5 linked regions of the Oryctolagus cuniculus genome follow. The protein of the gene in region 2 purifies or fractionates together with the protein of the main gene of each other region. This does not show direct contact. Links are inferred from orthologs where the notes say so. Each region holds a gene or a part of one and is shown on either strand. Other genes may lie near its edges.

Region 1 (5,475 bases), on a different chromosome or scaffold from region 2:
CATGACTTTTATACCTCTTCCATCACTGTAACTCAAAGAGTGACTCACATCTGAGTCTTTTGCTATGAAAAACAGCATCAAAGAAGACAAAGCGAGACAAATTAGTTTAACCTCAAATCAGTTAGAAAGTGATACCCCCAATGACTCTAAAATGACATGCATCAAGGAAGCATGGAAAAAAATTCAGCACATATTTTATGCAGCAAATGAAGAGTATACAAAGAAAAATAGAGCACATACCCTTCTTTCAAAATATCTTCTCTCACCCTGTTTTGTGCATTATACAAAAATTCCATTTTGGTGATTTTAAGTGGGTCAGAGAGCCAAGTGAAGGCAAGCTAATACGCACACAAGGACCAAGTGACATGTGACAAAAGCATGCTGTGCAGGTATTTTCTCTTCACCAACTTTAATGCATTAAAAAAAAAAAAAAACACCTCTAATTTCAAAATGTATCACGTAAACCAAAAAACACAATGCTAAAAAAGAGGCAAAAAATAAAAGTCTAACCTTGATAGAGTAGAGTTAAGAAACTGACAGTACAAGAAAGGCGAGAAGCAGTGTTGCAGAATGGAAAAAACAGTCCAAACTAGAAAAAAACACAGAAAGGAAAGCAACATTTGGAAAAGGATTAGTCAAAGCTGCAAAAAGTGCAATATTTTTAAAAAATCAGGTTACAAAGAGAAAAGCAATTATCTGTAAGGTAAGACAAATGCAAATTTTAGTTTTTTAAAGTTATAATTTTTGGTTAATAGATAAGACATCAGTGATGAAACTCTACCTCAATGAACAATACTGATATCTGCAATGTCTATGCTCTACTGAACAGACCTCAGAGAAATCTACTAAATAAACATTTTGCTTTCCAGTTATAACTTCAAGTACCTACTATTATTAGAGAGCCTTCAATGAACAAAAATAATTTGCTTTAGAAAGCTGTTTTATATCTGTAATTTGTGTTGGTTGGAGACAAAAGGTTATAAAACGCAAACAGTAAGAAAAAAACAGTCCAGATCAGTGAAACAAAAGACAAAACAAAACATTATGCCTGGCCGGTGCTGCGGCTCACTTGGCTAATCCTCCGCCTGTGGTGTCGGCACCGGGTTCTAGTCCTGGATGGGGCACTGGAGGATGGCCCAGGTGCTTGGGCCCTGCATACGCATGGGAGACCAGGAGGAAGCACCTGGCTCCTGGCTTCAGATCAGCGCAGTGCACTGGCTGCAGCGCACCGGCCATAGCGGCCATTTGGGGGATGAACCAACGGAAGGAAGACCTTTCTCTCCATCTCTCTCTCTCTCTCACTGTCTAACTCTGCCTATTAGAAAAAAATTATGCCATAACTGAGATACAGTTACAGAGAGCATAAATACAAATTCAGTAACTTTTATCTTCCCGGTAACATCACTTAAGCCTTCTCTGCAATTTATGGAACCTATGTCGTACATCACAAGGAACCCAAAAATAATCACAAAACATTCCTCCCTCTTGAATATCTCACAAAGCAGATAATCGGGTATTTATTTTATTAAGAATAAGGAGAGGGGCTGGCGCCGTGGCACAGTAGGTTAATCCTCCGCCTGTAACGCCTGCATCCCATGTGGGTGCCAGTTCTAGTCCCGGTTGCTCCTCTTCCAGTCCAGCTCTCTGCTAGGGCCTGGGAAAGCAGTAGAAGATGGCCCAAGTCCTTGGGCTCCTGCACCCACAGTGGGAGACCAGGAAGAAACTCCTGGCTCCTGGCTTCAGATCGGCACGACTCCAGCCTTTGTGGCCATTTGGGGAGTGAACCAACAGAAGGAAGACCTTTCTCTCTGTCTCTCCCTCTCACTGTCTTTAACTCTTAACTCTCAAATAAAAAATAAAAACTTAAAAAAAAAAAGAATAAAGGCAGGGAGTGGGCATTTAGCCTAGCTGTTAAGATGCCCCATACCAGAGGGCCTGGGTTTAGTTCTTGGCTCCACTCCTGATTCCATGTTCCTACTAATGCAGCCCTGGGAGGAACCAGTAATACCTCAAATAATTGGGTTACTGCTACCCATGTGAAAGCTCTAGCTTGCGTTCGCAACACCTGGATCAAGCCTGGCTCTGGTTCAGCCTCGGCCACTGTGGGAACTGGGGGGAGTCAACAAGTAGATAGGTACTCTGTCTGGCTTTTTAATTAATTAAAAAAAAATAAAGAGCAAAATTCCAATAAGTAACACTCTATAATGAGTATTATAAATTCCATTCAGTTTACTTAGGGAAAACATCCAATTTTGCCTTGTTTTCTTAAATTGCTATTTATTTATTTTCACTTTACTTGAAAGACACAGACGGGGAGAAAGACAGCTCTTCTATCTATTGGTCATTCTCCAAATGCCCACATTTGCATGGGGTAGGCTGGGGCAAAGCCAGGAGCCTGGAACTCAGTCTAGGTCTCCCACAAAAGTGGCAGGGACTCAAGTATCTGAGGCATTACTTGCTGTCTCTCAGGATGTGCACCAGCAGGAAGCTGGATGGGAAGCAGAACAGGCAGGACTCAAACCAGTCATTTCAATACAGGATGCAGGTATACCAACAGTTGAGCCAAACACTTACCCCTCAGGAATTTTTACTTTTATTAGGTTGTTTAAGTGGGATTTTAAAAAATCCATCTGAAAAAATTAACATGAAACCAAAATATCCTATTGGTTTGGAGATGGACCTCTCCTCAAACCAGACATTTGACAGCTCCTATAATACACAGCCCTGAAGAATCATCAAGAATTATTTTTAAAGACAAATAGGTATGGCCAGCGCCGCAGCTCAATAGGCTAATCCTCTGCCTTGTGGCGCCGGCCACCGGGTTCTAGTCCCGGTCGGGGCGCCGGATTCTGTCCCGGTTGCCTCTCTTCCAGACCAGCTCTCTGCTGTGGCCCGGCAGTGCAGTGGAGGATGGCTCAAGTCCTTGGGCCCTGCACCCCATGGGAGACCAGGATAAGCACCTGGCTCCTGCCTTTGGATCAGCGCGGTGCGCTGGCCGCAGCGCGCCAGCCGTGGCGGCCATTGGAGGGTGAACCAACGGCAAAGGAAGACCTTTGTCTCTGTCTCTCTCTCTCATTGTCCACTCTGCCTGTCAAAAAATTTAAAAAAAAAAAAGAAAAAAAAAGACAAATAGGTACTATATTATGCTAGTCATTTTAAAGATCCTGTGAATGCATTATTCCCCAAAAGGTTTCTGGCTGAGGAGAGAAAAATCAAGGCACAACGTGGCTAAAACAACAATTATGAACATTCCCACTGCTACTCAGAAAGGAAATGTAGCTAAAATTTGCTCCTGGCTATTCAGATAGTCACCTATAGACTCAGGAATAAAGAATCATCTATGGGGGGGGGGGGGACACCACAAAACCTATAGATTTAGTCTCAATATAAGGTTTTCCTTAGGTACTTTTTTGATGTAAAACTGATACCAAGTAATCGTCATCTCCTAGACTTTGTTTTCAAATTTAATTTATACCCTTTTTTCTATAAGAGTAAATCATTAGATGAAATAGTAATTTAATTCTTGTACCTGTTACTTAACATTTATACTATATTAATTAAAAATAAATCACAAATCCAGGGAGGAAAAATAAAGCCATATTTTTCCAATTTTAAGATTAGAAAATATAATTGTTGGATGTGTAATGAGTGGTGGGAATAAACAGTTGCAGGTCAAAGATGTTATACAAGGCACTCAAGCATATCTAGAGGTACAAAATAAGCACAAACATTACACTGCTCTGCTCCTGCCCAGATACTTATTCTCCAGTGTTTTATCTGAATACAATCTGCCATCTGACATGGTACTTGCAACTTTGTGTTAATGCTTCAGGGTTTTTGTTTTGTTTTTTGTTTTTAAGTTGTCTTACCTTTTGTAAACTCGTCCTATCTGATGGTGGAATCATCTCAGGAGTGAGAATGAGAGGAGGATCAATGCCTTTTATTAACTTTTGATTGATTAAGTGAAAAGCCAAGGCAAACTGATCTTTTGAAAGTTTCCCACAGCTCTTTGGGTCACATAATGCCCTGTATAAATAAACAGTTTATAAACATCACAATGCCATCCTAAAAACCCAGAAGAAAACCACAAGTATGTGTCTTTTTAAAAATAATCACTTGAATTAAAAAGGCCAAGTTGCAGCTTGTCCAAAACTCAGCTCAAATATTAGAAGAGATAGACCAGTTAAGATACTAAAGTGGAACTAATTCACCTAGTGCTGAGCAGGGGCCTCTAATCTGGATTTACTTTGTACTTATTAACAAATTCTAGAAACACAACAAAGTAAGAGCTGTGGTGGGCCAAAGAATCCCAACATTTCCTGTTACCCAAATTTTTAACATGACTTGTTCAAGATTAAACCTAAGCGTCAACAATTCTGGCTAGTTGACAGCATTAGAGTGGCTCTGAGACAAGGAAAAATTTCCACATCATCTGGCTTCCTGCAAGCCTTGGAGTAGGAGGGTACAAGGATCACCGAGTCAAAGCAGAAAGAACAGCTGCAAATGGAGATCACATGTGAGGAGAAGGCAGCAATCTGGAAAGCTTTACAAAATCACTTGAAGAGAAACAGCAAATGTCTCGTTCTATTTTCCTTTTCTTTTTAAAGCTCAGTTTTCTAAAGTCCTAACCTGTTTAAAAACAGATTTCATTTGAAATATTTTATTGAAAGCCAATGTGGCCTGATGAAAGGACTATGGGTTACAGTCTCAAACAGGCCTTGAATTCCATTATTTTCTTATTTCTTCTTGTGTCCTTGGTCACAATTTTTAATCTCTCCAAGTTCTTAGTTTCTGTGACAGTGGCCATCTACTGAGCACAGTATCTAGTCCAGCACCCCGAACTTACGTATACTTAATCCTTCTCAGTCTTCAGTCCATGCTTTTTTTGAAACAAATCTACCATCCTCTTTTCTTAGTTCTAAGCTTCTCTACAACTATGTGGCTCAACTTTTGATATTTGCTGTCTCAAGATGACCTCTGATTGGTAAAAGGCATGTTACAAAATATTTTCATAAATATTATCTTACTTAATGTGAAATTAATTAAAGACACTTAGGTCTGTCTTTTATATGAATCAACTGTTATATCCCTATATAAAGTGTGTAAGCATACATATACCTTACAGAATTATATGGCTGTGCCTTGAAGAAATATCTTTATACTGTCATTTAAATATCTGTTATTCAAAACAGAATATATTGTCTAAATTTCTGATACTGTTATTAAAATTTCAGATATTTAGATTCTCCCTTAAAATTTTAAGTTTAACTGATATTACAGAGAGATGTTACATTTGAACATTCCAATAGCAATTAACTGGTACTGTCAATCTTATAAAGCTTCAGGTAACCAATTCTCAAGCTGCTGTCCACTACTCTAAATTTTTCTATACAAGTTTAATAAAGAAATTTAAATTCAAGTCTTACCAAATATGAGCCAGTAAGGTAGAAGGTAAACCTGTTTTCAGAAAGATTT
Region 2 (6,012 bases):
GGAAAAAAAAAAAAAAAAAGAAGAGCTCAAACTGAAGACAGCGAAGTGTAGAGTTGGGGCTCACAGAAGGGGCACAAAGCTGAGCTGGACCGGAGCTTGGGAAGTGGTGGAGGCGTGGGGGGAGACGGGGAAGGCAGGGTCAGAGCCCAAAACGCCTTGAATGCTGTGCTGAGGAACCCGAGTTTTAGTCTCAGAACAATGATGGATTCCAAAGTGAGATTTTTTTTTTTTTTTTATTTGACAGGCAGAGTTAGACAGTGAGAGAGTGAGAGAGAGAGAGAAAGGTCTTCCTTTTCCATTGGTTCACCCCCAGATGGCTGCTATGGCCGGCGTACTGCACTGATCCAAAGCCAGGAGCCAGGAGCTTCCTCCTGGTCTCCCATGCAGGTGCAGGGCCCAAGGACTTGGACCATCCTCCACTGCCTTTTCGGGCCACAGCAGAGCTGGACTGGAAGAGGAGCAACCGGGACTAGAACCTGGAGTGCCGGCGCTGCAGGCAGAGGATTAGCCTAGTGAACCACAGCGCCGGCCAGAGAATTTTTTCTATAAAGGATTCCAATTGCTTGGGTGACATTTTTCTTTCTGGGGTATTTGTTCCTCTCTATGTGAAGAGATAAAGAACAGGAAAATCATTTCTGGACTGTGATAACATCACTGACCTATCTTAGGCCCGCCCGGAAAAAGCAAATTCTTCAAGGAACAGATGACAGCTCAACTTTGAGAAACACACCCCAGCTCCCTGAAGGCCTGCTGAGCTGGGGGTTTTCTGGGAAGCCAGCAGTTAAGACAAGCGCTAGTTTCAGAGGACAGCTGGAGAACGATCAAAGTCCAAGGCCAGGGCCAGCAGGACCAACAGACCAAGCAGTTCTGAAACACTTTTAGGAAATGAAACAAAAAGGGTGGGAGACGTTCTGAAGACAGAGAGGCCTCTGTCTGCAGAGGGAAGTAACGCCCAGACGTCCGCAGTCACAGGCCCCAGTGCGAGTTAACTGGCTGCGACCAAGGTACCCACAGGCTCTGCACAAATTTCCTCATTGAACCCGAACACAAGGCAGGGGTGGAGGGAGAGGGGCAGTATTAGTTCAGAGCGGAGTTAAAGGAGCCCCAGCCCAGGTAAATCACCCAGGTCACAGGAGCTGGAAGCCAGGACCCACTGGGTTGGACGGCACTTTCCATCAGACCTGAGGGAGACCTTCAAGCCGCTCAGGGAGGAGCCCCTGCCCAACTCTCACACTCGGCAACCCTGAGACCCAGTGGAGCCGGTCCTCACGCCATCTGAGCGGTGAGAGCTCAACTCAGGGCACAGATGACCTGTGCTCTCTCATGTTCCCGCCTTCTGTGACAAGTCACTTTATCCCGATTCTTCCCTTGGAAGGAGGAGGATAAGGTGACAATATTAAGTTTCTGTGAAGTCAGTGGCACTAGGAGAACAGATCATAGAGTTAAAGAGAATACCAGTACTACCCTAACATTTCTATCAGAGCTTTTTTTTTTTTTTTTGACAGAGTTAGACAGAGAGAAAGGTCTTCCTTCCGTTGGTTCACCCCCAAAATGGCCACTACGGCCGGAGCTATGCCGATCCGAAGCCAGTAGCTTCCTCCCAGTCTCCCATGCGGGTGCAGGGCCCAAGCACTTGGGCCGTCCTCCACTGCCGTCCCAGGCCACAGCAGAGAGCTGGACTGAAAGAGGAGCAACCGGGACTAGAACCCAGCGCCATATGGGATGCCGGCGCCACAGGTGGAGGATTAACCAAGTGAACCACGGCGCCAGCCCTCTATCAGAGCTTTCTTCAAAAGCAGGTGGACACCGCACAGGGAGATTAACGGTTAAGACACCTAAGAGGGGCCAGCACTGTGGCGTAGCGGGTGAAGCTGCAGCCCGCAAGCTGGTATTCCATATGAGTGCTGGTTCGAGTCCCTGCTGCTCCACTTCTGATCCAGCTCCCGGCTCTTGTGCCTAGGAAAGCATCGGAGGATGGCCCAAGTCCTTGGGCCTCTGCACCCACGTGGGAAACCCGGAAGAGGACTCTGGCTCCTAGCTTCGGCCTGGCCCAACCCTGACCACTGTGGCCATCTGGGGAGTGAGCTAGTAGATGGAAGATCTCTCTTTCTCCCTCTCTCTGTAACTGTGCCTTTCAAATTATTTATTTGAAAGGCAGAGGCAGAGAAAGAGTGCAAGTGAGAAGTCTTCCATCCGCTGGTTCTCTCCCCAAATGGCCACAACAGCCAGGAGCTTCTTCCGGGTCTCCCACACAGGTTGCAAGGGTCCAAGGACTTGGGCCATCTTCCACTTCTTTCTCAGGCCATAGCAGAGAGCTGGATCAGAAATGGTGCGGCCAAAACTCAAACTAGCACTCACATGGAATGCCGGTAGTACAGGAAGCGGCTTTACCCAGTACGCCACAGTGTCAGCTCCTAAAATAAATCTTAAAAAAAAAAAAAAAAAGACACCAGGAGAGGGTAGGAAGGCAGCAGGTCTTTCTCACGCTGCTGTCTGGGAAACTGAGGCGGAAGTGCAGTGGTCACTATCTGGAAGAAAGCTCAGACACAGAGCCTGACCCTCGGCCACCAAGCGTCTCCTCTCCCAGGCAGGACCACGTGGGCTCTGCACACTTCTCAGAGGGGCGAAGACTTCCCTCTGGGTACACGCTTCCACACCCAAGACCCCCTGATGGTCATCTGGGTGCCCTCTTTATTCCAAAAGGAAAGCAGTTCTTGAGCTACTTCTCAAGAGATCCGAACCATCGGCTTCACGGATAACCCGTTCGGGGTCTCACAGTTCCCAACAGTCAGGAAAACCTTCAACGCGTGCCCCTGCAAGATCACTTACAACAGCCTGCCCGGCTGCCTCACGGTGAAGAAAGCAAACCAAATGCCCCTTAGGAAAGATCAGGCAATAAGGGCACGTCTTGACCCTGACCCACGCCCCTAAAAATATGAACCAGCCCCTCACGCCCGATCACGGCGCCCCTCTCTCCATGGTCTCTGTACTTTGAGGCCCCGAACGCCTAAGCAGGAACCCTGGCTCTGCCCCTCCTGCCCAACTGGCCTTCCATGCGTGATCTGACCTCCCTGGATAAAAGGGGGACGAAACACCAGCGCCCTGGCAAAGGACTCGATGTGCACTGTACGTAAAGCGCTCGGCACAGCTGCGCACACACAGTAGGAGCTCAAGACTCAGCAGGGGGTCCTCAGTATCTCTTAGCATTGTTTTCAGACGTCCCCATGCCGTCCACTCGTCCCCGGAGCGCCAACGGACAGACCAAGCCCAAGTCCACCCGGGCGGCACAAGGCTGGTTTTTTCTTTTCTAACTTTAATTTTTCCTTTCTGAACCTCGGCCCTGGACGCCGACGAGGCCTCGGGATGACCACGGGGGTAACGGTGAAAAGGGAAACCAGAGCCCGCAGAGGAGCTTCCCCCACCCGGCCAGAGACGGGAGTCTCGGGGCCTAAGGTCCGGGAGTCTCCGGGCGGGCGCCCCGAGAGCGCCTACGGACACGGGGCGCCCGCGGTCCGGGCCGGCGGCCAAGCGGGCGCGAATGAATGAACCCGAGTCCTTCCGCCCCGTCCGGCCCCGGGACGCCGCCGCGCGCCCACGGCGCCGCGTCCTCCCCGTGACCTCTGACCCCCACAAACCCCTCACCTCAGACCCCCCGACGCCCCCACGCCGCTCCTTCTGCTACCTCGCGGCGCCCCCTGCTTCCTCACCGGCAAGTCCGAACGGCTCCTGGAGCCACGGCTCGGTTCGGCTCGGCAGCAAAATGTCCGCGGCCTCCTGCTCCTCCTCCCACCCTGCCGGTGCGTCCGTGCCGCCGGCTGCTCCGAGCCCCGCGGCTGTCACCTGCCGGGCGGAAGTGAGCTGCCCGCGCGCGGGCACTTCCGGTGGACGCACGGCCGGGGGGCGGGATCAAGGGTACGACGCGGGCAGGGGAGGGGCCCGGGGAGGGGCGGGTGCGAGTGCAGGGAAGGGGGCGGAGCCTGCGGGCAGGCACTTCTGCGAGGCCGCGGCGCTGTCTCCGCCGAGGTCTTGGAAAAGCCACGCAGCTGCGTACTAGTGGCGGCGGCCACCCCGTTCCTGACTGCGGCACACCGTGCATCTGCTCCTGCTAGATACTGTCTGCTCATCCCGCTTTCAAACGCCGCTCGCCCAGGAGGCCGCAGGGGGTGGTCCTGCACCGGGTCCCCGCCGCCCACCTGGATGCCCGGCTCCTGGCTTCTGCCTGGTCCGGCTGCAGCCCAGGAGAGAACCAGGGAGATGGGAGGCCTCTCTGCCTTTCAAATAAAAAAAATAAAAATTGCATTGCAGAGCAGGGAAAACCCACTGGTAACCAAAGCGAAGATAAAAGTTCACCTTCAATCTCACTTCCCTGAGATAATCACTTCCAATATTTTGGGGAAGGTTCTTTTAGGCTTGATGATATGGTTTGATTTTCTTTAAAAAGTTTTTTTAATTGAATTTTTAAATTTATTTGAAAGGTAGTGTGAGAGAGAGCAAGAGAGAGAGGGACAGACTGGCTGGTTCACTCCCTCAATGCCCTCAAAAGCCAGGGTTGTTCCAGGCTGAGGCCGGGGGCCTGGAGCGCCATCCAGGTCTCCCAGGTGGGTGGCAGGGACCAGGTTCTTGGCACCATCACGGCTGCCGGCCAGCAGGAAGCCGGGGCTGGAGCTGAGCAGGACTTGAACCCAGACCCTCCAGCAGTGGATGCAGGCCAATCACGTGGTCTTCCCGCAGCCCCGGGTGCCTGCCCCTCACTCACCAAGATTATGCTAAAAAAAAGTCCTGAAACAATGAGCACATTTCTTTCTCCGTGGTGTTTTCTGCCCTTGTGTGGATGGCACCTCTCTTCTCTGAAGCGATCCCCTAAGGTTGTACATCAGGTTGGTATTAATTTTTTTTTTTTTTTTGACAGGCAGAATGGACAGTGAGAGAGAGAGACAGAGAAAAAGGTCTTCCTTTTGCCGTTGGTTCACCCTCCAATGGCCGCCGCGGCCGGCGGGCTGCAGCCAGCGCATCGCACTGATCCAATGCCAGGAGCCAGGTGCTTCTCCTGGTCTCCCATGGGGTGCAGGGCCCAAGCACTTGGGCCATCCTCCACTGCCTTCCCGGGCCACAGCAGAGAGCTGGACTGGAAGAGGGGCAACCGGGACAGAATCCGGCGCCCCGACCGGGACTAGAACCTGGTGTGCCGGCGCCGCAAGGTGGAGGATTAGTCTAGTGAGCCGCAGCGCTGGCCATATTTTTAATATTACAAAAACTTAATAAATAAGCTTGTAAGCCAAGTCTGTATGTTCCATCTAATACATATATAATTGATTCAATATTCAATACACATTTGTGCTTCAACGGTCTTAAACAGTTTCTGAAATTTTTTGTTTTGAAATAATTGTAGGGGCTGGTGCTGTGGCGTAGCAGGTAAAGCCTCCACCTGCGGTGCTGGCATCCTGTATGGGTGCCGGTTCGAGTCCCAACTGTTCCACTTCCGATCCAGCTCTCTGCTGTGGCCTGGGAAAGCAGTAGAAGATGACCCAAGTCCTTGGGCCCCTGCACCCACGTGGGAGACCCGGAAGAAGCTCCTGGCTCCTGGCTTCAGATCAGCCAGCTCTGGCCATTGCAGCCATCTGGGGAGTGAACCAGCGGATAGAAGACCTCTCTCTCTCTCTCTCTCTCTCTCTCTCTGCCTCTCCTTCTCTCTGTGTGTAAATCTGACTTTCAAATAAATAAATAAATCTTTCTTTAAAAAAAAAAGAATTATAGACTTACAGGAGATTACAGAAGCCATATAAAAAGAGTCCCGTGTACCCCACACTCAGTTTCCCTCAAGGACAACCTTTTACCTGTCCGTAGTAGGATATCAAAACTATCGCTACTGGTCAGGGTCAGTGCCGGGGCTCACTTGGTTAATCCTCTGCCTGCGGTACTGGCATGCCATATGGGCTCCAGGTTCTAGTCCCGGTTGCTCCTCTTCCAGTCCAGCTCTCTGCTGTGGCCCGGGAAGGCAGTGGAGGATGGCCC
Region 3 (6,107 bases), on a different chromosome or scaffold from region 2:
TCCCCAAGCCTGGTCCCCATTCTCGCAGTAGATACACCCCACCCCCACCCCCAGGTTTCTCACGGCCACTCTCCCCAGCCTGGGTTTTTCCAGGTCTCACGGGCTCCTAACTCCCAGGCCTTATACTCGCTTTGGCTTTTTCTTCCCCTCCCCTTGCCTCTTCCTGCCCGGTCATGAAACATTTGTCCTCATCTACGCCTGGCTGCAGTTCCTGCTGCCCTTCTGGCAAAATCCGTCACACTGTTCCCACCAGAGGCTGGGCCAGCCTCCCTCCCCAGGCACGGCGTGGCGGGCCAGGAGCAGACTGTGGACCATGGGGTAGAAGACGCACATTGCAGCCGGGCAGAGCTGCAGCAGCTGGACGTCTCAGCTGAAAACAGGGAGCCCAACACCTACGTAGGGGACAGGCTGGGGAGCAGGCGGGAGAGCTTGAAAAGCACTTTGTAAATGGTGAGATGGGACACAGATGGCGGGGTCATTGCTACTCCCCATCAAAGATCTGAGCTGCCTGCCAATGCCCAGGCTAACCCTCCCCCCCGAACCTCTGGGGGCTGGGATGGGGGCACTGCTATTTTTAAAACCTCTTCCGTGCAAAGCCAAGGACGAGATCCGCTGATAAAATCGGAACCTGGTCGCCGTCCTTGGGTGAGAAGTCCGAGCGAGCAGCGCCATCCGTGACCGAGCGCCAGATCCGCAACCCCCTCTCTCCCCCCACTCCTGGCTTGAGGGCTGATTAAGGGACGGCTAATAGGCTTACAGCTTAAAAAGGGGGATTAATTACCGCTCTTACTGCTTCCAGCTTGACCTCTGCCCTGAGACTTCTGGGGCAGAGACTAGGAGGGCCTCAAGGGAGAGCAGAAAGAGGGGACCACTGGGCATGGAAGCTGGCATTGGTGGGCCAGGGGGAGACTTACGCTGCCGAAGTATTTGTCCAGGAGCTCCACGTACCGGTGGATCAGCTCCAGCGTGATGAGCTCATTGTCTTGGCCCTCGATGGCGCAGCAGAAGTAGAGGCTGGCGTATCTGAGGGAGGGCACAGCAGGCTTGGCTGGCAGCTGGCTTCAGCACCCACGCATCCGGGGCGACCAGCCCAGGGTCTCTGCTCTGGCTGACCACGGGGCTGGAGACCCCAGGGCAAAGGGTAACTAAGGGCTTCTCAGTAACCAGCAAAGACACGTGCTCGTTTCCTTCTTGCCCTCTGACCCGCTCAGACTGACTCAGCAAAAACCTGAGCCAACTAATTACCTGCTCTGAGGAGGAGGAGGAGGAGGAAGGGGAAGAGGAGGAGGAGGCAGAAATCGTGTGTGAGCGCGTGCACACTGCACAGCGTGAGGCAGGGCCTCTGGGACTAGAAGCCAGGTGCGTTCCAGAAAGGTGGGGTCTACAGCAAGCGACAGAGGGATGGGCATGGGGCAGGTGTCTGGCTTGAGCAAAACCATGTAGAGGGGCCGGCGCCGCGGCTCACTAGGCTAATCCTCCGCCTTGCGGCGCCGGCACACCGGGTTCTAGTCTAGGTCGGGGAGCCGGATTCTGTCCTGGTTGCCCCTCTTCCAGGCCAGCTCTCTGCTGTGGCCAGGGAGTGCAGTGGAGGATGGCCCAAGTGCTTGGGCCCATGCGTCATTGTCACCCACAGGTCCTTAGCTCCCAGCCTTCCCTCACCACTTATGTCTCAGCATCTGAGCCCAGCAGAACCCAGGTATGGCCGGCTGCAGGTGCAGGTGCAGGTGCGTGTGCGTGTGTGTGGGAGGGGTCACCTCTTGTAGACGACTTTGAGGTCTCGCCACTCCAGGAAGCTGCACATCTTGGGCTTGCGGGCCAGAACCACCTGCATGAGCTCCCGCACCATCTTCTTCCTCTCCTTGTCGGACGTGGCCAGGTACCACTTCTGCAGGCGCAGCTTTCCCTGCCGGCTGAACAGCAGCATGAACCGCATCTGGGGGTGGGGAGGGAGAAGCGGAGCCGACCGTCAGGGAGCCCTGCCCTTTTTCTACTCAGCCCCTTGCTGTCGACTGGGGTGCTCCCATCAGCAGACGGCCTGTGTCTGTCGCTCGGGTCAAATCCCGGCTCTACCGGTCGGGCATGGCCTTGGCAAATTACTTTCTGCCGCCAGGTCTCAGTTTCCCTAACTGTAAGGACATCCTTACGGAGTTGTTAGGAGGGATCAAAGGAGCTGATGACGGTGGTTGGCACAAGGCAGGCGCTGTAGCACATTACGTATTCGCACTGTTATTCCCCGGCCTCCTCTTCCTAACCCTGTTACCCAGAGTGAAATGCACACTACAGTGACTAGGGCAGCACACAGCTGACAGCACAGGGATACCCTCTTCCACACTGCCCTGGGCAGAAGCTGGGTGTTTTGTGCCTCCAGAGGCTACCTCAATCTTCCATCCTTTGCCTACTGATGTCCCAAGCTTGCCCTGCCCCCCAGGGCCAGCCCCGTGCCCAGCGCAGTACCCCCAACAGCCCACCTGATGTTGGCACGCTCAGCCAACTCTCTGCAGCCATCCAGCATTCCTGCTATGCTCCTCTTAACTTTTCTTTCCTTTCCCAGTGGGTGCTTCTGACAGCCCACGCCTCCCCAGACACCCGGAGCCCATTCCAGTTAGGAGCTGCACACCCAGGGTGGCTCCCCTAGGAAACGTGTGTGGACCCAGAGAAAGCTGGGTAGTGAGAAGTGCATCCCCAGCTGCCCAGCTGGGAGTCCAGAGCCACATCCTGGAGTCTTCCCATGGACGCTACCAGAGCTGGAACCCCTGGGTGTGTGCAGTAGTAGTAGCTTAAGGGGCAAGAATCAGGGTTCGAGAGAACTGGATTATTTGGGGGGAGGGGGAGCAGGGACAGGGGATCCGTGTGGGGCTAAGATAAGCAGGTGGCGGCGAAGGAGCAGGAAGACGGAAGGCCTGGGTGCCGGAAAGAGAGTGGGACGGGGGCGGGCTGGACAGCGAGGAGCACCAGATCTGGGGAGCCCAGAACCCGGGTCCCCGGGAGCAAAACCTGGAGCCCACTCCACCTCCCCACCTCGGCCCGGCCTCCCCGCAAGCATGGCCAAGAACCGGGGCAGGACGGGCACTCCCGGACCCGGAAACTACTCCCTCGCACACCGCGCGCGCCCCGCGGCCCCCGCGCAGGTGCGGGCCGCCCCGGAGTAAGGGTCTCGGTGACCCCGCTCCCTCCCTCGCGGACACGGCCGCCCGCGCCCCTCTCTCCCTCGCCCGGCTTCCCTGCGGCCGAGGTCGGGACCCCTTGCCCGGAGACCCGAGAGCGCCTCCCGGCTCCCGACCGTCCCGCCGCCCTCTAGTCAGCCTCCTCCCGTCCCACACAGGCGCCCCCTCCCCGCGTCGCTCCCTCCCGAGTGCCATTTCCAGCTCTGGCTTCCGAGGCCGGCTCGCCCACTCGCCCAGCTAAGGGAGGCCCTCTGAGGACCAGAGGGAAGAAAAAGCGGCTCACTCCGAGGGCGGCCCCCGAGGACCCCCGCAGGTGCAGCCCACGCTCCTCGGCTCCCCCTCCCCTCGCTCTTCGCACAGCCTACCATCCTGCAGCCTCCGGCTCGGCGCGTCCCTCTTCGGCCACCGTAGGCGCCAGCTCCACTCCCTTTCTTATCCTCTCGCCTTCTTCCCTCCCTCTCGGCTGAAGCCCCGCCCCGTCCCGCCCAGGCCCGGAGTGCCACCGCGCGGCGCTCTGCGCATGCGCCGGCGCCGGGGGCCGCGCGGGCGGGGCTGGAGGCGGAGAAGCGGAAGCCATGGCAACCAGGTCCTCGACTTCGGCTTCGAGTAGCTCGGTCGTCATGGAAACAAGCTGCCCCCGTGGGTTGGCTCGGAGGATGGGGGAGGAGGCCGGCGTGGTCCTCGCGCTTCGGGGCCTTGTGGGGGCAAAAGGCGGGAAAAGGGGTGCGAGGTGGGTGGGGTGGTCCTGGGAGTTGGTGAGGAGGCCCAGGGTGGGCGTTAGGTGTGGGAAGGGGCAAAAGGCTGTGGCTAACTGGGCGGCGGGGTGGCGAGACGGACGGGGCGCGCGCCGTCTGTGGAGAAGCTTCGAGACGCTGGCCTCTCTTGAAGCGAGAGGAATGCAACACAGGAAGGGGCGCCCCCAGGGAATGTAAAAGAGAAATAGAGGCTCGGAGGGTCAGTGGGGCCAGAATCCCAAGGCTCCGATACCTTAGACCCAGTTGCATCACGCGTGTGTGTGTGTGTGTGTGTGTGTGTGTCCGAGGGCCGAGAGAGGCCGTGACGTGGTGTCCCGATGGGCAACGTGGCCGGGACCCCTCCTCCTCTCCTAGGCTGTGCTCCGAGACCCCTGCAGATAGACCTGAAGCCGTGTGCATAGATAGACCGTGTCTCCCCCCACCCCATAACCCAAGGCTCTGATAGAGTTTAATCTATAAATAAGGCACCGTAAGAGGTTGAAATGGAAAAATTATAACAATATGCTGGGAGAAAATTGCCCTTATCACTACTCTTGCCTTTTGGGGCCATTATTAAGAGTTACTTGAACGCACGCACCGTGATGCGGCACCCGTCAAGTTGATAACCGAGACAGCTATTAAGTGACTAACGAGGGAGTGCGTAGTGTCATTTGCAATCATCTCTATTTTTTTTTAAACTCCTTTTATTTCTTCCCGAGCAATCCGTGTGCTGTTCTAACAGCCCTGAACAATTGGATGCTTTCGGTGGTGGGTGTTTGTCATTCTGTGTCACCTCTCAGGCTCTCAACCCCCGCCTTGGAGTTTGGGAGTCCCCCCGCTTTGTGAGTCTAGGGGGAGATGGGCCAACCACTGCCCCCGCAAGGGAGCCTTTGAAATGTCCAGCTCCACCCCCCGCCCCCGCCACCGCAGAGCCCTGCCCGTCTTTGAGGGGCACCTTTCTAGATTTTGGGCCAGGAGGGGAAGGAGGTGGGTGTGACGTGATGGGGGGTAGGTACGGCTCCCGCAGAGGGTCAGTGGGTCCAGGGCGGCAGGGATGGTGTCCAGTGAAGGGGTGGGTGGGGGCACGGGCACAAGGCGGGGGTTGTTGCTAGTGTGGGACCCCCCTCCAACCTGGGTCTCTGGCTGTCCTGGTTCCCTGAGCCTCCCTCTCTGCCCGCCCCTCTCCCCACAGCGCTCCATCAGCCAGACTTGTTTCTGCTGCCTGTTACCAAGAGTTCTACCCGGCTGACTCTATTACCCTGCTGTGGTGACCACTGACTGCCCGTGTGACTCGGCCTCCTCTCTCCCCTGGACTGTAAGTGCCCGCTGGGCTGGTGTCATAGACTGCCTCCGTTTCTTGCCAGCACGCAGCTGGTTGGTTAGCCTCAATTAGGATCCAGGTGGTGATAGCAATGGGGTGTGTCTGTGTCGCCCAAAAGTTCGTGTGTTAGAAACTCAGTTCTTCCGTGTGGCAGACTTGGGAGGTCTTCAGGAAGAATCAGTGCTTTATGTGTGGATTCTCACTCTCGTGGGACTGGGTTAGTGATCCAGGGAGTGGGTGGTTAGTAAGTGAGTCCACCCGTGGCATTCTCTCTACCTGCACACACCCACTCATCTGTCTACTTTCTGCCATAAGTTCAAGCAGCCCAGGGCCATCACCAGGCGCTGAGCGCACCTGCTCCACAGCCAGAAAATAAATCTTTTTTTTTTTTTTTAAATAAATAAGTCATCCAATCTCAGCTGTTTCGTTACAGCAGCAGCAAACAGACTAAGGCAGATGATTGAATCTGATTTCTCTTCCAAAGGTACTAAATTCTAGTTTCATAACTTTTTACTTTAAAAAATTTCTTGAGAGGCAGAGACAGAGAGAGAGCGAGCAAGTGAGCCGGGGGTGGGGGAGAGAGCGCCCATCTGCTAGTTCGCTTCCCAAACGCCCATGGTGGTTGGGACTGGGCCTACTGACGTGGGGAGCCAGGAATTCGGTTCAGATCTCCCCGTGGGTGACAGGAACCCAGCTACCTGCACCATCTCTGCTGTCTCCCGGGGTCTGCATCAGCCGGAAGCTGGAGGCAGGAGTTGGAGCCGAATATTGAGCTCGGTACCCGGAGGCGGACGCTGGCATGTGGAGGCCATCTTGGTGTGTGCTTTCAGTTCCGCGCTTAGTAACACACATCTCCTATCTGTTATTTCCAGTAGGTGACATACTGCC
Region 4 (5,080 bases), on a different chromosome or scaffold from region 2:
GTTCCTCGGATGCAGTGGAAGGAGACACATTGGTCGTGTCAGAAGGCTCTCCCCTCGCTGTGATTCACACGCATTTTCTACCTCAAATATACCCAAATATGGCTTTCCAACCCCTTCAGGCTTTATTGGGCTTTCATTATTTGTGGGGGAAGGGACCACCCCCTCCCCCCAGTTTTTGCAGTGGCAAACACAGCGCCGGAGCGCCACCTGCTGGTCAACCTCAGGTGTAGGCCTCAAGCTGTTGTGGCTCCAAGGGTTTGGGATACATGGGGAGTTACTGCCAGGTCTCCACAGGCAAGTTGTTCACCTCAAAGGTCTCCTGGACGGACTGGCCAAGGTGGTGATAGGTGAGGCGCAGCTTCAGCCGCAAGGGGGCCTAGGAACAGGAGAGTGGGGACCAGGGTCAGCGTCCGTGACTTCTCTCATCCCTGGTCTCCCGCCCAGGGGCTCCTGGAGCTCACCTTGTTAGGATTGAGGATTCTGAAAAGCTGGGTGATGGGCAGGCTGCTCCGAGCTGGAACCGTGTCCCCACTGGGGGCCTGCAGCTGCAGCTGCAAACTCTGGGCACAGGCGGTTTGGAGAGAGCCTCCAGTCACGGTGCTTCCAGACCGCTTTCCCGTCAGCCCCCGAGTGCCCGTCTCGGTCTGTCTCCAGCCACCCCCTCTACTTTAAGGCCTTTTCTCCTGGAGTGCCCAGGCCACGTCTGAACCCCGATCTTTACAAACCTTGGGCACAGCAGCCTGGCAGGTGAAATGGGTGACGTCACCCCCCGAGGAGTTGGTGGTGGTGACGGTGATCAGGAGCAAAGCAGGAGTTTCAGGTGGTCGAATGAAAGAGAGGTTCAGCTGTACCCCATCACGCTCAAACGCTTTGCAGTCGGGGATGGCAGCTAGGGTTGGGAGAGAGGCCGCTCAGTGGGCAGGCTGAGAACATGTTCGTTCGTCCATTTTTTCCTCCATTCAGCACCATCTCAGCGAGACTTACTGGTAGTGGCAAAGTAGACAGGAACGTGAGGTTGGCGCTTACACTCGGGGGCGGTGGGGAGAAACAATAAAGGAAGGAAGCCAGACCAGCACAGGCCGTAAGTGGTATTGTGAAGGTGAAATTATGCCGGGATTAACTGGGAAGACTGCAAGAGGAGTGGCAGGGAAAGGCAGCCGGCATTGAGCTGAGGACTGAGCCGGTCTGAAGTGCTGAGGAAAGAACACCCCATATAAAAAGAACTTGAGTCACCAAGCGCATGGCCAGGGAGCGTTTGAGGAGTGAGGGCCAGTGGAGTAGTGATGGGGGTTGTGGCATGAGATGGGCGGGGCCCACAGGCCAAGGTAAAAAGACAAAAGAGAGGCGTGATAGAGTGACCCCTCCCCCTGCTGGGAAGGGGCTGGGGGACCCAGGCGTGGGAAGGGTGACGAGCCTCGGTCCCTGGCTCAGGACCAGGAGCAGCCTTCTCTGAGGCGTCTTCCCTCTGCTGCAGCTCACCTGGGGGTGCAGGTGCACAGGGAAGGTCGAGGAGGTGTACTAAGGTGCCTCCAGGGGGGGGATCCTGAGGAGGCGGGCATGGGGCCTCCCCAGAAGAGCCGTCCAGGAGGTGCAGCAGATCCAAGAGCTTGGAGGCCTGGGCCAAGGACGGAAGGCTCAGGGCTGGGTGTGGAGGCTCCACCCAGGCCGCCTCATCCCAGGGTTTCTGCCTCCCTCACCTGGGGCTCTGCGGGGACAGGGGCCGCGGCTTCCGAAAGCTGGGCAGCCTTGTTGCTTTCCTTTTCTTCCTCTTCAACCCGAGTGCCGCCTCGCTCCACCAGAGGCATCCTTTCAAGAATGGCAGCCCTGAGAGGTGGGAGGGTGGGTGGGTCTCTCTGGGTGGAACAGGAAGCATCTGGGGGTGGGGGCCGTGGCACAGGGCACCGTGGCACAGGGCGGGTCAGAGGGGCCTTTGTGAGTTCCTGAGACAGCGCGCTGTTGCTGGGTTTCACGTGAGCCCGGAGGGCTGGAAGCCAGCACAGCATCGGAGAGCCTCGGGGGGGCTCCCACGTGGATGGGGAAGGCCACAGGCGAGGATGAGACCCTTGGACCGAGTAAGACCGCACTGCAGCGGGCTGCCAGGCACACCTCATGTGGTCGTACTTCCGGAAGAGCGTGTTATACTCCACAGCCCGCTGCTGCAGCTCCACGTCCACGCAGCTCCCGTAGATGGACACCACCTGGCGGATGCGGCTGCGCCACAGTGCGGCACGTGAGTGGCAGTGGCAGTGAGCCCTGCCCTGTGCTCCACGCTCTGGCAGGGCCGGGAGAGGCTGCACAGAGTAAGGAGACCCCTGGGATAGCTGGCCCTAGGGACAGGGGAACAGTGGGGCCTGTGTCTGCAGGGGTGCTCAGCGAAGGGAGTCTCAAGGGCTCGGCCCCCTCCTCACTTGTTGTCCCCGCGGAACCGGGTGCTGAGCTTCATGAGGGCCGTGAGGGCGTAGGCTCTGGTGGCTGGCAGGGACAGATGGGACTGCAGCACCTTTTCCAACAGTGCCAACACCTCCTCTTCTTCCACCTTCGGGCGTGGATGAGGTAGTGAGCCTGGGCCCAGCCCTGCCCACCCTGTCCCTCTCCAGTGAACCCCCACGCAGGTCTCACCTGAAGGGGTTCAGTTTCCTCGCAGTTTCCCTCTAATAAGAGGTCCCCAAATTCCCCAATGCACCAGGCTGCCACCTGCACCAGCGGTTGCTGTGTGGGATGAGAAACACCACAGGTCAGTGTCTGGGTCAGTCCCACACTCTGCAGCCTCCCTAGGTAGTGCAGAGATAGTGGAGCTTGGCAGGGTGGGAAGAGGTGACTTTGATAGCTGGCTCTGTCCTGGTGTCCAGGCGCCCACTGCCCTCTGGTGGCCAAGCATTATAACTACATGGCCTAAACGCACTATGGTGGCAGAGGGTCCCCAGAGGAAGGGGTAGTGGTTTCGGCCCACCGGGCTTAAGGTGAAAAAGGACACTACAGATGCTGGCTGGCATCGGTTAATCACTCAGCATTCAAGGGAATAGCAACATCGAAGACGTGCAGAATGAGCTTTGATCTGATCTGATGCTCACGGCAGCTATGGGGGACAGGCAGGGTAGAAGGAACTTAAATAAAGTCCCATTAGTCATCTGTGGTTACACAGCCAGTAGGTAGCAAGGCCAGGACAGAAGCCCAGTGTTCTCACTAAAAAACAGCCCTGGCCTTGGGTGTCTCCTGCACCAAGTAGCTGCGACATGGATTGGGATGGAGGAAGCAGGTGGGCAGCCCTGGGCCTGGGAAGATGGGATCGGTACCTGGGAGATATCATTTGCCAGGGCACTGTAGAGGCGGCACACTGAGTAGGCGTGTAACTCCCGGGCCCCCCCAATCAGCTGGATCAGGTTGGCCACTGCGTCATCCCGCACATGGGTGCCTACCTGGAGGGGTGGGAGGACACAGCCAGGTCACTATGCTCAGCTCTGCCCACTCCTCCCCGCTCCCTGGCCAGCCCCCACCTCACCGTTGTCAGCACGTGCAGGATGGTGTCTATGTGCCACCGTTTGCTTGGAGCGAACCTGGGGGACATGGCTCATCAGGGCTGACCCTGCCGAGACTCGCCCCGCTCTGCTTCCCTGCACTTGTCGCCTCACCTTTCCGCAGCCAGCAGGATGCCCGAGGCACAGTCAGCCCGGAGGTCAGGCGGGCAGTACTCCAGGAAGGCCTGCAGCTCCCGAATCATGGCTCGCACATTTGAGCTATTCACCAGGGCCAAGCTCAGCTCCAGGGCCCGCCTGGAGGGAAAAAGACAAGTGCCTAAGCGGACCCTCCCCTGCTCCAGGCAGCTGTCCCTGTAATGCCCTTGCTGCAGGTGCTCTGAGTTGCTCTGGGCCCTCTCCCCTGCTGCCCTGGTGAACCCTTGCTCTCCGCTCACCGGCTGAGGGAGGCGTCGGTTTCCTGCAGACACTCCACCACCGTGGGCCGGTGCCGCTGCACGGCCCCGTGGTCGGACTGCACCAGCCGCAGCAGCGATGTCAGGGCCACATACCTGCTCGGGGTGGGGGGTGGGGGGCGGGGAGGCTCTATCATGCCATGGCCATCAGCCCGCAGCCCCGGTGAGAGGGAGGTGGATGAGGGGGCTCTGGAGGACACGGTGGCACAGCCCAGCCAGACACCTGGGTCTGTTACCTAATGTTCTTGTCACTGTTGAGCAGGAAGCGGCCAAGAATGTTGACAGCTAGGACCTAAGGGAGGCGGCGGTCAGGGGAGGAGCAACCCGCTCATTCAGGGGCAGGGACCCCGGGGCACAGGATGACGGGGTAGGAAGGAGAGACCAGTGAACAGGACCCGAGTGCCTGGCCGGGGGGCAGTAGGCGGGCCACAGTGGGACAGGCCGATACCCGCAGGCCGGCTGCAGAGCGGATGTCCATGATGGTGAGCACGGTCTCAAACAGGATGGCGCTGCCCGCGTTGCGGCTGGTGTCTGTGTTAGTGGCCACCTGAGCGGACAGTAAGGAGAGCTCCATCTGCATGGGGCCCCGCAAGGTCTCTACCACGTCATCTCTCCACCCCTCAGCCATCCAAAGGAGTGGCCGCCAGGTGCTAAGGCCAGACTGGGCGCTAAAGATTGAGCCCTCCTGCAGGGAGCCCACTGTCTTGAGGGGACGGGGAGGGCAAGGTCAGGCGAGGGGTGCACAGGGCTGGGGTAACACAGCAGCATAGCTGACCCATGCCCCTCCCCAGCGCCCCACCTGGGCCAGCAAGTCATTCATGGCCTCGCTGCTCTCCTCGTGGCTCCGGCCCAGAATGCGAAGCAGACGAAGTATCTGCACCTGTGGTTGGGTTAAAGGTTGAAAGGCGGATATGAGAAAGGAGCACGGGGCTGGTGACCCAAAGGGCAGTGTTGTGAGGGGTCTGGCCGTGCCCTGGAGCTCTGCGTGCCTCTCCTTCCTCCACAGGCCCCTTGAACCCTGGGAGGGATCACAGGTGGGCGAGGCCAGTGGAATCCAGTAGACTTTTTCCATGGTTACCAACCTGGACGTTCTGACCTCTCTGTGCCTCATCTCTCCACCAGAGCAGTCCTGCACCTGCTGTCCTCCTACTC
Region 5 (6,156 bases), on a different chromosome or scaffold from region 2:
TTTTGGGCTCCTGGCTCTGGCCTGGCCCTGCCCTGGCTGCTGCAGCCATTTGGGGGAGGGAACCAGCAATGGAAGATCGATCTCGATCGATCACTCTGCCTTTCAAATAAATAAATAGCACCTCACACACATGCACACATGGAGATGGAAAAGGGACTGTGCTTTACAGCAACACCCAAGTTCATGGCTGTGCAGAATCCTACCCACGAGCCCTTGCGGGCCTGGGGCCCACTGGTTAAGAGCCCCCAGTGGGAGGGGGCATTTGGCACAGCAGGTAAGACCCCTCTTATCCCAGCAACTCTGCCCCAACTCCAGCTCCCTGCGAATGCACAGCCTGGGAGGTGGCTAACTCAGGGCCTTGGGGAGTAGGCAGGACAGGTTGTAGCTGCAGGACACAGAAGCAGCCATGAGTGCACTCTTGCCCATCTCAGGCTCCCTCCAGGTCCCGCCCTGCAGCCGCAGTCCTGGAGCCCCGCACTGCCCATGGGTAAGGCCCTCTGCTGACCAAGGAGCCATGGGTAGCCCTCTCCTCAGTGCACAACAGGAGAACCTTCCCCATCTGCCACCCTGCCTCCCAGGGTGTGCACCAGCACAGGGCTGGACTGGAAGCAGAGCGGGGACTCAAACCCCAGCACTCTGATGTGTGGGTGCCCCGGCGGCATCTCAACAGCTGTGCCAAGAGCCCGCCCCTCTCTGCGGGGTGTTAGACTTGTCATAACCCCCCCCCCCCAGCTTAGGGGCACAGAGAGGAGCAGTGACTCGCCCAAGGTCACACAGCCAGGAAGTAGGGCAGCTGGCACCAGACCCCAAGCTCTCTGGCTCAGTTGCCCACACCCACAGGGGCCTCCCTGGTGCCTGCTCCCACAAGCAAATGAGACACAGCTGGGCTGGGGTTTTGATACCCCAGCCTATGGAAGCCTTCCTGAGAGAGATGGCCCCTGAAAGGGGCGGGCAAAATAAATGACGGACAGGGCGGCCAGCCTATGAGACACCAGTACCTACCTCCACTGTCTTATAAAGGAAGGAGTATACCAGGGAAGCGTTGGCGTTCTTCAACGTGGTGGCCACCACTGGGGGCAGCAAGGGTCAAGGAAAAGGTACCCTTTGAGGGCGGGAACGGACCCCACCTCCCCCACGCACCTGACCCATGCTGTGCAACTTCCACCCTCTGCTCACCCTCTCTGGGCCGGAGCAGCCAGCACCTGGGCTCCAGGGACCCCCGCCTGGGTGGGATACAGTAGAGGTTGCTGTGTTTGATCCACAGGAAGTGGACCCGGCCGTGGCTCAGCAGCGGGGCCAGGGACCCCTCCTCCTCCTGCTGCATGAGCAGGGGCATGAAGTGGTCGATCTCGCTCATGGCCACGTCGCCCTTGTAGTTGCGGCTGATCAGGGGCTGCGGGCGGGCAGAGGGGACCGGTCACGGCCAGCGGTGGGGCCTGTCTCAGCTTCTGCCGCCTTCTCGGCGTCATGGGTGCGTGGTAACAGCTGCTCAGGTGGCTGGAGACCCCCCCCCCCCAGCCCAGCCCAGCCCCAGCCCAGCCCCAGCCTTCCCTCCACCAGCGACCGGCTGCTGGCCGACGCATTCCACTCCCGCCACCATCCTGCAAGACAGGTGTCAGCATCTCCATTTTGTAGATGGGGAAGTTGAGGCCAGAGCCCCAGATCCAAAGGACGTGAAGCAAGGGAGCTGCGACCGGTGCACCTGGGTGCAGAATCCCTGCCTGGGGTCCCGGGGCTTCCTACACCAAAGCAGGGAGTTTGGGACTATGTAAGGGGGAAAAAAAAAAAAAGAGGAAAGAAAAGCTATACCTATGTGTTTCTTTGAGCCATTACAGCTCTGCCTGGGAGGGAGCAAACAGTAATCAATCATAGTACCAGGAGCCTTCAGAGAGTCCACGGGAGATGTGTATTATGGAAAAAGCGATGCATGGATTTTTTTTTTTTTTTTTAAGTGCACCAAAACCAAACTCGTCTTGGAATGCGGTTTTCCAGTAACTGGCGCGCGCTCCCGGAGGGGACGATGGTACTCGGCTCTGGTTGAACTGAGCCTGCGGCTGGCTTTGGGCTACTGGGCCAAGCGGCTGCCATGCGCCCATTTGTGCAATTCTCCTGGGCCGCGGGTTTCTTGTCCCCACTTTTCCACACGGGGAAACTGAGGTTCGGAGAAGCCAGGGCCTGGGCTAACCCATGGCGGAGGTGGGATGCGGCCCCCGACCCCCAGGGGCTGCAGGGCCGGGGAGGGGGGGTGCGAGGACCCCGTGGTGGAGGTGGGATGGGACCCCGACCCCCAGGGGCTGCAGGGCCGGGTGGAGGGGGCGCGAGGACCCCGTGGTGGAGGTGGGATGGGACCCCGACCCCTAGGGGCTGCAGGGCCGGGTGGAGGGGGGCAGGAGGACCCCGTGGTGGAGGTGGGATGGGACCCCGACCCCTAGGGACTGCAGGGCCGGGGAGGGGGGCAAGAGGGCCCGTCGCAGAGGTGGGATGTGGTGACCCCCGACCCCCAGGGGCTACAGGGCCAGGGAGGGGGGCGAGAGGGCCCTGTGCCGGAGGTGGGATGTGACCCCCGACCCCTAGGGACTGCAGGGCGTGGGGGGGCAGGAGGACCCCGTCGCAGAGGTGGGATGCGACCCCCGACCCCCAGGGACTGCAGGGCCCGGGGAGGGGGGCAGGAGGACCCCGTGGCGGAGGTGGGATGCGACCCCGACCCCCAGGGACTGCAGGGCCCGGGGAGGGGGGCGCGAGGACCCCCTCGCAGAGGTGGGATGCGGCGACCCCCTACCCCTAGGGGCTACAGGGCCAGGGAGGGGGGCGAGAGGGCCCTGTGCCGGAGGTGGGATGTGACCCCCGACCCCTAGGGACTGCAGGGCGTGGGGGGGGCAGGAGGACCCCGTGGCGGAGGTGGGATGGGACCCCGACCCTTAGGGACTGCAGTGCCAGGGAGGGGGGGCGCGAGGACCCCGTCGCAGAGGTGGGATGTGGTGACCCCCGACCCCCAGGGGCTGCAGGGCCAGGGAGGGGGGCGCGAGGACCCCGTGGCAGAGGTGGGATGCAGCCCCGACCCCCAGGGACTGCAGGGCCGGGTGGAGGGGGCGCGAGGACCCCATGGCGGAGGTGGGATGCGGCCCCCGACCCCTAGGCGCTGCAGGGCCGGAGAGGGGGCCGGAGGAGTTCCCACGCCGCGCTCCGCGGCCGCCCCTGCCCGTCGCCCGCCCGAGCGCCCGGCCTCACCTTGCCCTTCACGTCGAGAATGAACACGGCCGAGGCGGACATGGTGGCGGGCGGGCGGGCGGCCGAGCCAGCAGGCGGGGAGCGAGCGCCGGGAGGCGACGGCGGCGCGGCTTCCTCCTTCCTGCGGAAGCGCCCGCGCCCAGGTGAGCGCCCAGGTGAGCGCGCCTTAAAGGGGAGGCCCCCAGGTGAGCGGCGCGGTCGGCCGACGCAAAAGGCGGCGACGGCGGGGAGGGGCCGCGGGCGGGGCGGCTTCGCCAGGAACAGCCGCCCTGGGTCGCTTTACCCCGATGCAGGCGGGCGGGGGTCCTATAGGGCCGGACCCCGCCCCATATCCACCTGCGCAGCCCGCCAGTCGTTCACCCATCCATTCAGGCGCCGTGCGTCCCACGCCAGCCCAGGGTCCTGGTGATGTTTGTGGCCCAGGTGCCCTGTGTGGTCGTCACGTTTCTCCAATTCCCTCGTCCAGACGGCAAATGTTATCCCTGCGAGTTTTCCACTCAGTGCCAGAACCTGGCCGCGCTCGCCAAAGGGCAAACGTCAAATGTAGATGCTTTAGGGTGTTTGGCTACTAATGTTGCTCTTTCCTAAAAAGATGTGTTTATTTATTTACTTACTTGAAAGAGAAAGTGACAGAGAGAGAGAGATCTTCCATCCACTGACTCACTCTCCAAATGGTCACCACGGTCAGCGCTGGCCCAGGCCAACACCAGGAGCCAGGAACTCCACCCGGGTGTCCCAGCCGGGTGTCAGGGGCCCAGGTGCGTGGGCCACTGGCGGGGAGCCAGTCTGGAAGCCGCAGAGCAGCTGAGACCCGAGCTGGCACTCCGATCCGGGGTGCCGATGTTACAGGAGGCAGCTCCACACCCAGCACCACCACACTGCCCAGCCAGGTTACCCGGATTTGTTATTGACAAAAATAGGTATTGCTAGATATTGACAAAGTCTGGGGCCGGCCCTATGGCCCAGGGGGTTAAGCCACCTCCCGGAGATCGGAAGAAGCTCCTGGCTCCTGGCTTTGGATCGGCCCAGCTCCGGCCATTGCAGCCATTTGGGGAGTGAAGCAGTGGATGGAAGACCTCTCTCTCTCTCTCTCTCTCTCTCTCTCTCTCTCTCTCTCTCTCCCTTTCAAATAAATAAGTAGATCTTTAAGAGACCCATGCACGTCCTTTATGACGATGACTGTATTATACAATAGGATTCATTATTGAGCAACTGCTGTTTGCTAAACTGGCCACACGGCGGCTGTTTTGTTAGGGACTTGGTGAATTACTCGGTGCTGTGCGTGGCGGGGCAGAGAAAGCCGGCACCCTTGCTCCAGGGGAGATGAGAGGTGCAACGGAAAAACCAAAAGCGAACACCGAGGACTCTAATCTCGCACATCCCAGGCGCCCTGGGAGGGTCACAGGGGCCCCGTACACCAGCGATCACGAGTCAATCTGAGTTGTCATTAATTGATGTGTTCAAGAGGCGCAGACAGAGAGGGGCTGGCATTGCGGTGCAGTGGTTTGAGCCACCCACTGTGACGCCGGCATCCCGGATGAGCTCCAGTTCAAGTCCCCGGCTGCTCCACTTCCAACCCAGCTCCCTGCTAATGCCCTTGGGAAGGCAGCGGAAGATGGCCCAAGCGCTTGGGTTCCTGCCGCCCATGTGGGAGACCTGGATGGAGCTCTTGGCTCCTGGCTTCAGGTAGGCGCAGCGCCGGCCGTAGCAGCCATTTGGGGGGTGAACCAATGGAAGGAAGACCTTTCTCTCTGTCTCTCTCTCACTGTCTAACTCTGCCTATCAAAAAAAAAAAGAGAGAGAGAGAGAGAGAGAGCGCACACTCCCATCCACAGGTCCTCTCCCCACAGGCCCTCATGCACCAGAACTAGACTGGGGCAGAGTTAGAAGCTAAGAACTCACTCCAGGTCTCCCATGTGGACAGCAGGGGCTCAGGTACTTGAGCCGCTGTCACCTGCTGCCTCCTGGGGTGCGCATGTGCTGGGAGCTGGGGTCAGGGGCGGGAGATGGGACTGAAACGCAGGCCCTCCGGTGCAGGACGCAGGCATCTTCGAGTCCTTACTGCACCGTACATTGGCTGCGAGGCATGGGCTGGTGACTGGACTTCCTGTGCCTCAGTCTCTCTTTCTGTTTAATGGGTACAACCGCCATGTGCTCCCTGCTCAGACTGCCTGGCACAGGGCCTCGGCTCCAGGCACGCTCTGGTACTCCAGCCACCATGACACCAATGGCTTAGCCCCACGGCTTCCTGTGGTTTCAACTGAAGGGCCGTTTGGGGAGGGGGCAAATCTCAGCTTGGCCCAAACTCCCCTGGCTCCACTGATGGAGGAGGAGGGCCTGCAGGCCCCCAGGGGTGACCCCCTGCTGCCCAGCCACATCTCCCTGTCCCCAAACTCAGCCCCAGACCTTCATCAGCTCTGGGGGGGGGGGGGCGCTGACAGAGTCAGGTGAGAGGCAGCCAATTGAATTCCTCACTCCTGCGCGGGTGTTGGGGCAGCATGAAGACGCGGCCTGCGACCCCCTGCATCCCACAGCAGCGGGCCTGGGTGGCAATCCCGGCTCAGCTTCCGGCTGATGCGCCTGGGAAACCAGCAGGTGATGGCTCGAGTCTCTGGGCCCCTGCCACCCACGTGGGAGACCCGGATGGAGCTCCTGGCTCCTGGCTTCAGCTTGGCCCAGCCCTGGCTGTTGTGGCCATTTGGGGGAGAGAACCAGCAGAGGGAGGATCTCTCTGTCTGTCTCTGACTCTCTGCCTTTCAAATAAATAATTTACAAAAAAAAAAAAAGTGCCCCAAGGCAATGCGGGTGGGGACAGGCCCTCACCTCCTAGGCCCCCAACCTTTTTTTTTTTTTTTTTTTTTTTTTTTTTTTTTTGTCAGGCAGAGTGGACAGTGAGAGAGAGAGAGACAGAGAGAAAGGTCTTCCTTT

The links.
Region 1: the proteins of AP1B1 (region 2) and EPS15 purify together in Homo sapiens (affinity purification with mass spectrometry; 3 studies listed by BioGRID and IntAct, with this or other methods). This does not show direct contact. The link is inferred for Oryctolagus cuniculus from reciprocal best matches to the Homo sapiens genes AP1B1 and EPS15.
Region 3: the proteins of AP1B1 (region 2) and AP1S1 fractionate together in Homo sapiens (co-fractionation; 6 studies listed by BioGRID and IntAct, with this or other methods). This does not show direct contact. The link is inferred for Oryctolagus cuniculus from reciprocal best matches to the Homo sapiens genes AP1B1 and AP1S1.
Region 4: the proteins of AP1B1 (region 2) and AP1G2 fractionate together in Homo sapiens (co-fractionation; 3 studies listed by BioGRID and IntAct, with this or other methods). This does not show direct contact. The link is inferred for Oryctolagus cuniculus from reciprocal best matches to the Homo sapiens genes AP1B1 and AP1G2.
Region 5: the proteins of AP1B1 (region 2) and AP1M2 purify together in Homo sapiens (affinity purification with mass spectrometry; 3 studies listed by BioGRID and IntAct, counting the BioPlex papers as one, with this or other methods). This does not show direct contact. The link is inferred for Oryctolagus cuniculus from reciprocal best matches to the Homo sapiens genes AP1B1 and AP1M2.

What each region holds. Positions count from the first base shown.
Region 1 is NC_091438.1:121,502,078-121,507,552, reverse strand, and holds part of EPS15 (epidermal growth factor receptor substrate 15), read right to left. Parts: coding exon 5,427-5,475; intron 4,027-5,426; coding exon 3,870-4,026; intron 1-3,869. UniProt on the Homo sapiens protein: Involved in cell growth regulation. May be involved in the regulation of mitogenic signals and control of cell proliferation. Involved in the internalization of ligand-inducible receptors of the receptor tyrosine kinase (RTK) type, in particular EGFR.
Region 2 is NC_091452.1:22,803,549-22,809,560, forward strand, and holds the start of AP1B1 (AP-1 complex subunit beta-1), read right to left. Parts: upstream 3,885-6,012; 5' UTR 3,708-3,884; intron 1-3,707. UniProt on the Homo sapiens protein: Subunit of clathrin-associated adaptor protein complex 1 that plays a role in protein sorting in the late-Golgi/trans-Golgi network (TGN) and/or endosomes.
Region 3 is NC_091450.1:43,213,367-43,219,473, reverse strand, and holds the start of AP1S1 (AP-1 complex subunit sigma-1A), read right to left. Parts: upstream 3,658-6,107; 5' UTR 3,533-3,657; coding exon 3,530-3,532; intron 1,934-3,529; coding exon 1,755-1,933; intron 1,024-1,754; coding exon 915-1,023; intron 1-914. UniProt on the Homo sapiens protein: Subunit of clathrin-associated adaptor protein complex 1 that plays a role in protein sorting in the late-Golgi/trans-Golgi network (TGN) and/or endosomes.
Region 4 is NC_091443.1:51,513,116-51,518,195, reverse strand, and holds part of AP1G2 (AP-1 complex subunit gamma-like 2), read right to left. Parts: intron 4,809-5,080; coding exon 4,728-4,808; intron 4,476-4,727; coding exon 4,377-4,475; intron 4,221-4,376; coding exon 4,165-4,220; intron 4,025-4,164; coding exon 3,911-4,024; intron 3,771-3,910; coding exon 3,630-3,770; intron 3,555-3,629; coding exon 3,500-3,554; intron 3,417-3,499; coding exon 3,294-3,416; intron 2,710-3,293; coding exon 2,620-2,709; intron 2,537-2,619; coding exon 2,409-2,536; intron 2,212-2,408; coding exon 2,107-2,211; intron 1,825-2,106; coding exon 1,698-1,824; intron 1,616-1,697; coding exon 1,480-1,615; intron 1,194-1,479; exon of another isoform or gene 985-1,193; intron 984-984; exon of another isoform or gene 890-983; coding exon 726-889; intron 561-725; coding exon 462-560; intron 377-461; coding exon 275-376; 3' UTR 1-274.
Region 5 is NC_091447.1:66,903,136-66,909,291, reverse strand, and holds the start of AP1M2 (AP-1 complex subunit mu-2), read right to left. Parts: upstream 3,388-6,156; 5' UTR 3,271-3,387; coding exon 3,229-3,270; intron 1,394-3,228; coding exon 1,237-1,393; intron 1,071-1,236; coding exon 1,003-1,070; intron 1-1,002. UniProt on the Homo sapiens protein: Subunit of clathrin-associated adaptor protein complex 1 that plays a role in protein sorting in the trans-Golgi network (TGN) and endosomes.